Linked DNA regions of Cricetulus griseus. The protein of the gene in region 1 binds, or shares a complex with, the protein of each later gene. Links are inferred from orthologs where the notes say so. Each region holds a gene or a part of one and is shown on either strand. Other genes may lie near its edges.

Region 1 (4,678 bases):
GAAACCCTGACTCAAAAAACAATAAACAGCAGGAAATGAAGTTTCCTTGAAGCCAGTGAGATGAGAAGGGACAGAACTGTGGACTGCTAGGCAAAGTTAAAGTGACCTGGACAAGCTATTGGCTCCAGGCTAGGGAGGAAGAGGCCCTGAATCCCAGGCTGTATCTGGGTCTACTGTGGCCCTCCTGTCTTTGTGTCTGAGGTGAAGAAGTGGAGGCAGAGGGTATGTGTGCAACATTGTAAATGAGTCTTTGGCCTGGGCCTCCTGAAGTTAATGGAGAAATTAGCTAGAAGGATGTTCTCAAAATGTTTTATAGGCATTCAGTAGCACTGCGATGCCTGCAGGCAGACCTAGATATTGATTCAAAGCCAAGGAATCTGCACATCCCTATCAAATGGCTCTGAGCTAGCTGGAAGTCAAATGGGCATACTGGTCACCTTAGAAATCACCTGAACTAGAGGTGAACATTGGCTATATCAGGTAATCCTGAGGCCCCTGCTGTATCCAAAACCCCAGAGACAAACAACATCATGTCTAAAAGACGTAGATTTCCCTCAAGGACTCTGGAATCAGGGGATTCCAGAGATTCAGGGGAACAGCTTAGATGATGATTATAGGCAGTGCAGGATGAGCCTGGCACAGTCTAGCAGCCCTCATTCTGTCCTGCTTCCAAGGGTGAGGGCCATCAAAAATGCAGACATATAGCCTATAACCTCATTGAGATAGACTGCTCTGAGCCATACCCTGCACAGACCCTGCAGCAAGACTCACATATTACAGGAAGGATGAGGCCTCAGGTCTTTATGTCTCTGAAATATACTCTCAGGGAGACAGAGCAGACAGCATGTTCCCGGGGCCAAGTCTATCTTCTACTCTACTGTGTTCTGCTCACCCATGCCACATCCACCAATTCTTTCAGGCAGGAGACACATGAGGTTGGCACAGGTGCTTTTGCAAGGCCTATGGGTATGTTGTACCATCTGTTAGAAGCCAGCCACCCTGAACCCAACACTTACCAGCCAGCCTATAGGGTCGGCAGAGTCGAAGGCCAAGGGAGTATAGCGGCAGGGAGTTGATGAGGTCCACAAGAAGATGGATTAGGCCCTGCACAGTGATCACCAGGAGCCGGAGCTGTCGCAAAGGTCACATTCAGGGCCACTGACTGGGGCTGAAGCCACACATCAGACTAAGAGGAGAGCAGCCCAATAGGCTCTTGAGCTATACTCACTAAGGGTGACCAGAGGCTCAGGAACCCTAAGGAAAACATAGACTCCACCCTAAAGAGACTAAAGAGCTGGCAGCAGAGCAGCTGGCACTCTTTCCTAGTCAGAAACTGTGTATTAACATTCCCAACACTTACAGGTCAAACCCAGAGGGCCTGAGCCATCTGGGGATCACTTATCTCATACTGTCCAGCCTGGTGTTGTTCCTCTACGATTCTATCCACCCACTATGGGGCCTGACCTCCTCTGTAACCAGCCCAGTCCAGGGCAGGACCCCCCAACTGCTTTAAGACCAGCATATAGTTCCCAGAGAGTTCAGAACAGCCACAGTGATGTGACCCGAAGAGATAGATGGCCCGTTCCCCATGTGACTGGCTCAGGCAGTGACCAGTCCAAGTTTTGTAGGTCCCAGAACAGGAGGTACTGGACTCACCAGGGTAAATACCAGGTAGTACAGAGCGGTGGTAGGCAGCAAGAAGACCAGGATGGTAAAGAGCAAGGTCCCAATGAACAGCTGTGGGGAACAAGCACACTTGGTATTATAAGACCAAAACCAGGGGAGGCCACTCCATCACTCTCCACACACACCCATCGTTAAACTGCTGTTGGGATTTTTTGGCCTCCTGTGCTAGCAAGGGTCAGCATGATCCCTTTACCATGAGGGATGTGTCCACATACCTTGTGGACCTGGTGGCTTGTGGGGATATAACCAGCAGGGTATACAGGCAAATATGAGGTTAGGAAAAAGTGCATATCAGGTCTGGGTGAGCAAATGGAATAAGCCAAATCAGGCCTTATGCCCACCTGAGCAAAGTATGTGTAGGTCTGCTGGCACCTCCCCCCAGGCCAACTGTCAGAGGATAGTTACAGTAGGCTGGTCACTGGTAGTGTCCAAGGAGTTGCCCTGACAAGGTCAGCAGGCTCAAAGCTGTAGGTACCTGGTCAAGATCATAGGAACAGGAATCCACCCGCTGGCGCAGAACATTCCACTTCTTCCCCCGGAACAGACGCCAGAGCGAGGAGAGGCCATAGATCTTCAGGCAGTACAGCCTGTAGGACACAGGCTCATGAGGGCCAGCTGGGAGCCTGTGCCACGCCTCACCCATCTGCTCAGACCCTGCTGTGTGCCCATGGCTTAGAACACTACACTTGGGTAAATACGTACCTGGCACCATAGACATAGAAGCAGTAGATGTGGAAGGTAAGGAGGGCGATGATGTCGGAAAGGATGGACAGGGCAACAGTCAGTCCTAGGCAGGCTGAGAGGCCCACATGCCACAGGATGTGCTCAATAAAGGGGGACATAAGGTGGATATAGCCTGCAGGATGGAGTTCAGCTATGAGTAGTGCCCAGCGAGGCACAGTGAGCCCCAGTTCCTGAGAATGGGCACCTAACACTTCAGGACACCAGTGAGTACAGACCCAGCCACTGGCCCGACACAATTGCTTCATATAAATGGGAGGCTAGAAAATGGAGGCAGAGGGGATGGGGACTGGCTAGGGTTCCTGTTCTCCTCTATCAGCCCTACTGGGCTGCTCAACCCTGCCCATCAGGCACTCACTGATCCACAGATGGATGTGGTACAGGAAAAAGCGGCCTAGCACCTGATCCAGTGCCCGATTCATCTTGAGCCCAGCAGGAGCACCCATCAGCCACTGCAGCAGATGCTGGAGCTCCTCAGCCACGCGCTACAGAGACATGGGGCAGGGAAGGGATGACATGGTCACACTGAGGTAAGTGGGTGGGTGGAAAATTATCCATAATGGGCTCCCACTATAGCCAGTCTATCTGGGCTGGGTAAGGGCAGCCACTTCTTCCAAGGTTCAAATCATTGTCCTTTTTTTTGTGGGGGGAGGCAAGGTCTCACTATGTAGTCCCAGCTGTCCTAGAACTCACTCTGTAGACCACACTGGTCTCAGACTCACAGAGATCTGCCTGCCTCTGCCTCCCCAGTGCTGGGTTAAAGGTGTGCACCACCATGCCCAGCAAATCATTGTCGGCTAACATTGCATAGAAGCAATGTTTCCCAAATTCGCCTGGCCACTGGACCCCTGACCCCTGGTCACAGATGATTTCTTTCTTTCTTTCTTCTCTTTCTTTCTTTTTCTTTCTTTCTTTCTTTCTTTCTTTCTTTCTTTCTTTCTTTCTTTAAATTTAAATGCACTTTATTTTTAAACAACCTACATTACATGTTTTTTTTCTTTTCTTTTTTTTAAATTTATTTATTTTTACTACATATATAGTGTTCTGTCGGCATATTTGCCTGCACACCAGAAGTGGGCACCAGATCTTATGAAAGATGGTTGTGAGCCACCATGCAGTTGCTGGGAATTGAACTCAGGACTTCTGGAAGAGCAGTCCAGTGCTCTTAACCTCTGAGCCATCTCTCCAGCCCCAGATCATTTATTTCTAAGATCCTGCTCTGAAGCATCTTCCAACATAAACCAGTTCCTTGGGCATGTGTCCCCACGGGATATCTACCTCAACTTGAGAACTTCCTTCATGCTCACTATCTTGCCATTTCAGTCCTGGAACCATAAGGCCTTAAACCCACGATACCTAGGTATGGCTGAGGTTGGATTGACCCTGGCTCAATTCAAACAACGCAGGGGAACTTGAGAATACTGAAGCTCTTGGTCAAGACCTCTCTCCTTGCCACTTGCTACCAGAGGTTAAGGCCACCCAGCAATCGATAGCCACCTTGGGTGAATGAGAGGGTGTCAAACCAACCAGGGACTAAGGAAGCAGGTTGGAGCACTGGAGAGCAAGGGCACTCAGAGAAAAGACAAAATTAATTGAGCACAGGGACTTCAACAGTAAGCAGGAAAACTGGACCTGGCTGCCACAGGAGTAACTCCTGTATCCCTATATGCTCTTTCCAAAGCCTCTCGCAACCCTGTGCAAGAGCCTTAGGACCACCAGGGAAGACAGCAAAACCTTCTTTATAAATAGGGCTTATTTAATATTTAAAGGATAAAAGCCTGGCAGCGGAAAGAGACTCCACTTTTTAATTAAATATTTATATATATATATATATAGTAATTTTGCAAAAAAGAATTCAGACAAAGCTGGCCAAGAAACAGAATATAGAAACAGCCTAACCCCTTCTACCCAACCACTTTCCTACTGGGATGCCCTCCATATAGCTTACATTTCAGGTAGCCGAGAGGAACCCACTGCTGCTCCCAGGTTCCCAGCCTGGAAACAAGCAGACCTGACATACGCCTGCACTGATGGGAGACCTTCAAGGCTTCCACAAGAGAGACAGGGCTTTGGCTCTACTGAAAATGAGATGCAGAACTGAAAAGTTCTGAGGCTGGGTGGAAATGAGGAGGTGGAGGAGGCCAGAAGAGCAGGAAGGGACCAGCATGATATGCTGCACACACCATGCAGGGGAACACTGGGAGCACAGAGGACAGGCCTGTGCCTCTTGTTCTCAGGATAAGAGCAATCT
Region 2 (5,173 bases), on another chromosome or scaffold:
CTCTTCAAATTTTCCTACATTCCAACATATTATGACACACTTGGTGTCCCTGATCCAATATACTTAGGACCAGAAAATTTTGGAACTTTACTTTCCTCAGATTTTAAATTTTTTTTACATAAAATGATAGCTTGAGAATGGAACTCATTCAAATACAAAATTCACTTGTTTTATATACACCTTATTCACAGTATGAAGGCAATTTTATATTTCTTAAATAATTTTAAACATGAAGGTTTCGTGTAGAATGTAGAATGTATAGAATGTGGAATTTCCACAAGGCGTAACACTGATGTTCAAAACCTTTCAGATTTGGGAGCATTTTCGGTTTCAGAATTCTGCATTTGAGATATTCGGCACTAATACTGTGCATCCTTAGGCATTCTTCAAGACACTTCACACACAGCTTATCTAATTGCCACAATTCTTAAAGATGCAAACTGAGAACTGAACAATTAGCTGACTCAAGACTTCAATTTAGCCCATCTTTAGACAAGATGGATTGCCCACCACGGGATACGGAGCCCATGGGACTGTATCAATAGAGCTGAACCTTTACTCAGGCTCCACTGACTTTCTTTCCTCCCCCAGATCTCGTAACTCTAAATCTCTATCCTGGCCCCATCTTTGCGCCTTGGCTAGTGGATGTGGCATCAAATGTAGTCACGTTTTGCCTGCAAATGTTCTTGTAACCTGGATTAAATTTGACACAGCTTACAAAGCATATTTCATATTACAGATCAGATTCACAGCTACTGTAATATTCATTTTTCTTGGAAATTCTGCAGGTATGAAGCCCAAACTGAGCAGAAACAATCGTTTTTTCGACAGTAGCAACTGCCCTCACTGGCTAACATCACTTATCTGGCTCTCAAGGGCTCTCTTGCCAGCTGTCCTCCGAGAGTAAATGTCACCTCTTGTTGCCTAATTGCCACATCCACTAGCCTAATTGCTTCAGATAAACTCACTCTCTCCAGCGTCTTTCACTGTCTCTAACATTTTCTTTCTATGACGAATAACTCTCCTCTATTGGCTATACATACAATCCACTAAAAACTAAAATGGTTCTGTGGTATTGGACAACAAGCTGGATACTACTTTCTTGAATTCTCAAATTTGGGCTCTAAATATATAGAGGTGTCCCTCAGTACACAGAAAAGGCTAGACAACTGATTACACACACCTACTACTCCTCATACCACTTTTGTCAGAAAAACTATGAGACAGGGCCAGTATGGTGGCTTAGCTGGTAAAGGCATTGTTCCCAAGGCATGGATTGAATGCCTGGGACATGCATACTGGAAAGAGAACCAACTCTCTCTCTCTCTCCTCTCTCTCTCCCCCCCTCTCATGCATATAAAAAGGGTATGTTTTTAAAATATGAGACAATTCAATGGGTATTACTTTTTTTTAATAAGCAGAGCCCACATTATATAATTTGTTACAAGGAATAAAGAGGGACAATAATTCAAGACAGCACCAGAAAGCTTTTTCAGTCATAAAATAACTGAAGGACAAACATCTTCCCCTAAGCCCTTGGTTAAACGTTTCCTTCTGCTCTCTGTTCTACCATCCAGATCAGCCCGCTGCCCTTAAGTGTTATACTGGTTAGGTTCGAGGTCTTTTGGCTTGCTGTAATAATGGAATGAAGGTCCCTAGTTTAGCTAAGGAACCTAGACAAGTCTTCTTTAATTTCAGCTTCATCCCAAGGCCCATGAATATTTTCCTTAAAAAGCTGCAGACGAATGAGGTAGTAAGGGCAGAGACACGAAATGGAAATCAGCAGAAGGGCAAAGAGTATGGCTCCCACACCACTAATGGACAAAAGACCCCCAAAAGCTGAAAATGCAAAAAGCAGAGTGACCCCTACATAACTTCGGGGGGTATATGCCTTCAGTTTCTTCTGTAACATGGGCCACAGTGCAAAAATCTGGATGGCAAATGTCACCATAATGAAGGCATGCAGTGACCGGGGGAGACGAGAGGCCAGGCAAACAGAAGCAAAGATGGCCATGTTCAAGGACAGTGTGCTGGATACAATTGCGGCATTGGCACCATAATCAAAGAAGATGAGATGGCCTAACAGCATAAAAACTGACATGGCGTAGATGGTGTCAGTACTGACAGACTCTGTCAGGGTCTTTAGCACTGGTGAAAAACCATAAGTGAATGTAATGAAGACCAGAGTACTCTTCAGGTCAGCCCATCGGGTCCGCCCACTCTTCTTCCGTCCATCACCTCCATCGATGAGATCAAATAAAACATACCCAATCAATGAAGATGCCAGTCCAGTCCCAAAAAGCCACTGGGGGGCCAGAAGACCCTCATCCATGTACCACCAGATCACTACAAAAACACAGACACTACAGAGCTGCTGCACCACCACACTGGACTCAAATACCACAGCCCAGTATTGGTATTTCCGGGCATAGATGTTTTTCCGGAGTTCTTCCAGGAATCTTTGATCAACATAATTATCGGGGAAGGGCTGCCGTTCATATAAAACCTTCTGCCACTTGACTTCTGTGGTGTCCGTTAGGTGTTGAGCACACATTATCTCATCCTTCCCTTAAATCCAGGCTGGTCGGATCTCCCTCAGAGAAGTCCACACAATTCTCCTTCTTGATACAGTTACAAATTAGGACCTCTATGGAAATGCCATGTTGATACCTTCCAGATGTTTCCTTGTTTACAAAGGCTGCAACCCAGGCTAGCTAGGCCTGCAGCAGATGAGGTGTTCTGTGAGGCAGGACAACACAGCTAAATTCTTAGAAAAAGAGAGATCTGTGAATATATGAAAGCTCGAAAAGGTCATGGTAGGACTATGTTATAATACAAAACAACTCAGTTTAATGAAAGCCTAAATCAATTGTGCGAAGTGACATAATTTGAGACATTTAAAATATAATATTAACAATTCATATCTGCATGACATCACTGACTCAGAATGCTAAATATCTTACACAACATTACAAGTTAGTACCTGTCCCACTTTACCTAGTAAGACAATTGAGTTTCACACTGGTTGGGTATTTATGTCCCAGGGTAACAATGGAGCCAGAACTCCAACAAAATCTAGTATCAAAGTTTGTGCTTCTCATTATCTTCCTTAAAGCCAGTCAACTTTGGCGTTCTCACACCTAAGGTATGTACTATTTTTGCATGTTTGTATTTGCAACATACGCAAATATAGGAACACAATCCATAGCTGTTACAAGGTTCCCAAAGGCATCGAATTAAGTTCTAGATCTCATGACAACAATAATCTGCACAATACAGAAGGGCGTGATAGCTACAGTTTTAGCCCAAACCAAGAACTCAAGCCTTCTTTGTTCATTAACTAAGCTTACCACCCTCTACAGTGATTTATCATTCTAATTAAATGAAACAGCAAAACTCCAGTGCGGGATAGATAACCATTCCATTTTCAGAAGGGAAAACTCAGAGTCAGAAACACGAAGGTCATTAAGTAAAACTGAGGAGGAAAAAAACTCCCCGCTGGACCTTTCTTTATTCTACGGAGGCCAGGATAGGCTGGCAGACACCCTAGAGTCTACCCTCACGCACAGGGACCTCTGGATTTGAAAGGTCCGCGTCAGCGGACAGGGAAGGGTCCGGTCTTGTGCTGTCACTCACCCAGCCGGCCTGCCCCGCCCGCCGCCGCCGCCTGTCTCCCACCCAGCCTTAGCTCAGCGGTACCAGCCAGACAGGAAGGATGCCGGAACCCACCTGCACCGAGCTCTTAGGGGTGCACGACTGAGAAGGGCAGCCGCCCAGCGATTTCTACATCCGGGGCGCGGGGTTGGAGGGTACCGCTGTGAAGGAGCACTTCCGGCTCTGCACCACTCCGCCGCCAAAGCGGCGCTCACGGAGACAGCACACCGCGAGGTCGCTGCTGCCCTCTACTGGCTGCTTCTCTCCCGGAGATCGGCTCAAAGTGCGATCTCTGCTCCTGGAAGAAAAGGAAGCTCCTCCAGGGTTCAAAGGGAGGAGAAGGCAGGAATAGATTCTGAGCTGGTGGAAGAGTGGTAGCAGCTGCAGATGTTGAGCTTATGTTATTGTCAGGCCCTCAGCTAAGGGACTTCTCTTGCGTTCCAGCCTTCAGAGGTGCCAACCCAGGCTTCTAGTGCTGCATTAACTACACAGAGGAAACAAAAACAACTGTATAGATCTCATGGCGCTTTCTGGGCATTGGCTTCCACAGAGACGATGTGATCACAAGTTTATATTTGTCCAAAGTCAGGCAGCTGTATACTGATTGCAACTAGATCAAATGTCCAAATGTGGATGGCTCTACAACTCGATTCTTTCCCAGAGTTTGCCACCCAAAGAGAGTGAGGAGGGTGGAGGCCCTTGGGTCTGAAAACATGGCTAGAGGATTGGGACAAGAGATGGCTGGTTTTCAGCTGAGCTCATGGAAATATTACAGAATTTAGAAATAGACGTTAAGTACAAAGAACTGAAAATATGTAGAATATGGGATATAGTGGACACAAAAGTCAGAAAGCATGAACCCATTTATTAGCAGTGTCGCTTAGAAGAACTTACACTGTCGTCACTTTGAACTCTTCGTTTAAAAACCAGAGGAGGCACGTATTTGTTCTTGGCCACTTTATGGGACGGTTGAAAGACTCACATGTACAAATTTTTGTAGAGGTGATTGCTATGTGATAGCTAATAACTTACTTTGGTTATCACAGAACTAGCACTAGTCAAGTGTTTAACTCTGTTTTAATGTTTCATTTTAAATTTTATCTACACATGTGTCCATATGTAAGTATGTGCTCCTGAAAGCAGGTACCTGTGGGGGCCATAAGAGGGGGTGCTAAGTCCCCTGCAACTATAGTTAACAGGTAGCTGTGAATGGATAGTGCGTGTTATCAACTGAACCTGGATTTTCTCAAAGAGAAGAAAGTGCTTTTAACACTGAGCCATCTCTCCAGTCCTGTGACCCATTTTAACATTTATTTTCATTTTTCATAAGTGTGATAACTTATGCAAAACTATCTCTTTCCCTTTCTCTTTAGGCTTTTGTTCCAAAATTTGACAAGGTTCCTTGGCTTAGTGAGGCCAGCCTGGTAAACAAGCCCTTGGTACTCAGCCTCCCTGGAAGGTAATCCCCCAGCTTCTGAGGACAAAGCGTTTGAGAGAGATCTCAAGGGGGAGAGGTGGG

What was found.
Region 2: Pigq (region 1) and Pigc share a complex: the UniProt entries of both Homo sapiens proteins name them as parts of the glycosylphosphatidylinositol-N-acetylglucosaminyltransferase (GPI-GnT) complex. The link is inferred for Cricetulus griseus from reciprocal best matches to the Homo sapiens genes PIGQ and PIGC.

The regions. Positions count from the first base shown.
Region 1 is NC_048600.1:45,550,942-45,555,619, forward strand, and holds part of Pigq (phosphatidylinositol N-acetylglucosaminyltransferase subunit Q), read right to left. Parts: intron 2,913-4,678; coding exon 2,786-2,912; intron 2,543-2,785; coding exon 2,389-2,542; intron 2,274-2,388; coding exon 2,162-2,273; intron 1,738-2,161; coding exon 1,657-1,737; intron 1,169-1,656; exon of another isoform or gene 1,132-1,168; coding exon 1,017-1,131; intron 1-1,016. UniProt on the Homo sapiens protein: Part of the glycosylphosphatidylinositol-N-acetylglucosaminyltransferase (GPI-GnT) complex that catalyzes the transfer of N-acetylglucosamine from UDP-N-acetylglucosamine to phosphatidylinositol and participates in the first step of GPI biosynthesis.
Region 2 is NC_048598.1:30,145,638-30,150,810, forward strand, and holds Pigc (phosphatidylinositol N-acetylglucosaminyltransferase subunit C), read right to left. Parts: upstream 3,589-5,173; intron 3,146-3,588; coding exon of another isoform or gene 3,116-3,145; intron 3,001-3,115; coding exon of another isoform or gene 2,929-3,000; intron 2,768-2,928; 5' UTR 2,555-2,767; coding exon 1,661-2,554; 3' UTR 1,390-1,660; downstream 1-1,389. Other genes in the region: CUNH1orf105 (uncharacterized protein C1orf105 homolog), read left to right, coding at 2,929-3,000, 3,116-3,145, 3,589-3,996, 5,028-5,113. UniProt on the Homo sapiens protein: Part of the glycosylphosphatidylinositol-N-acetylglucosaminyltransferase (GPI-GnT) complex that catalyzes the transfer of N-acetylglucosamine from UDP-N-acetylglucosamine to phosphatidylinositol and participates in the first step of GPI biosynthesis.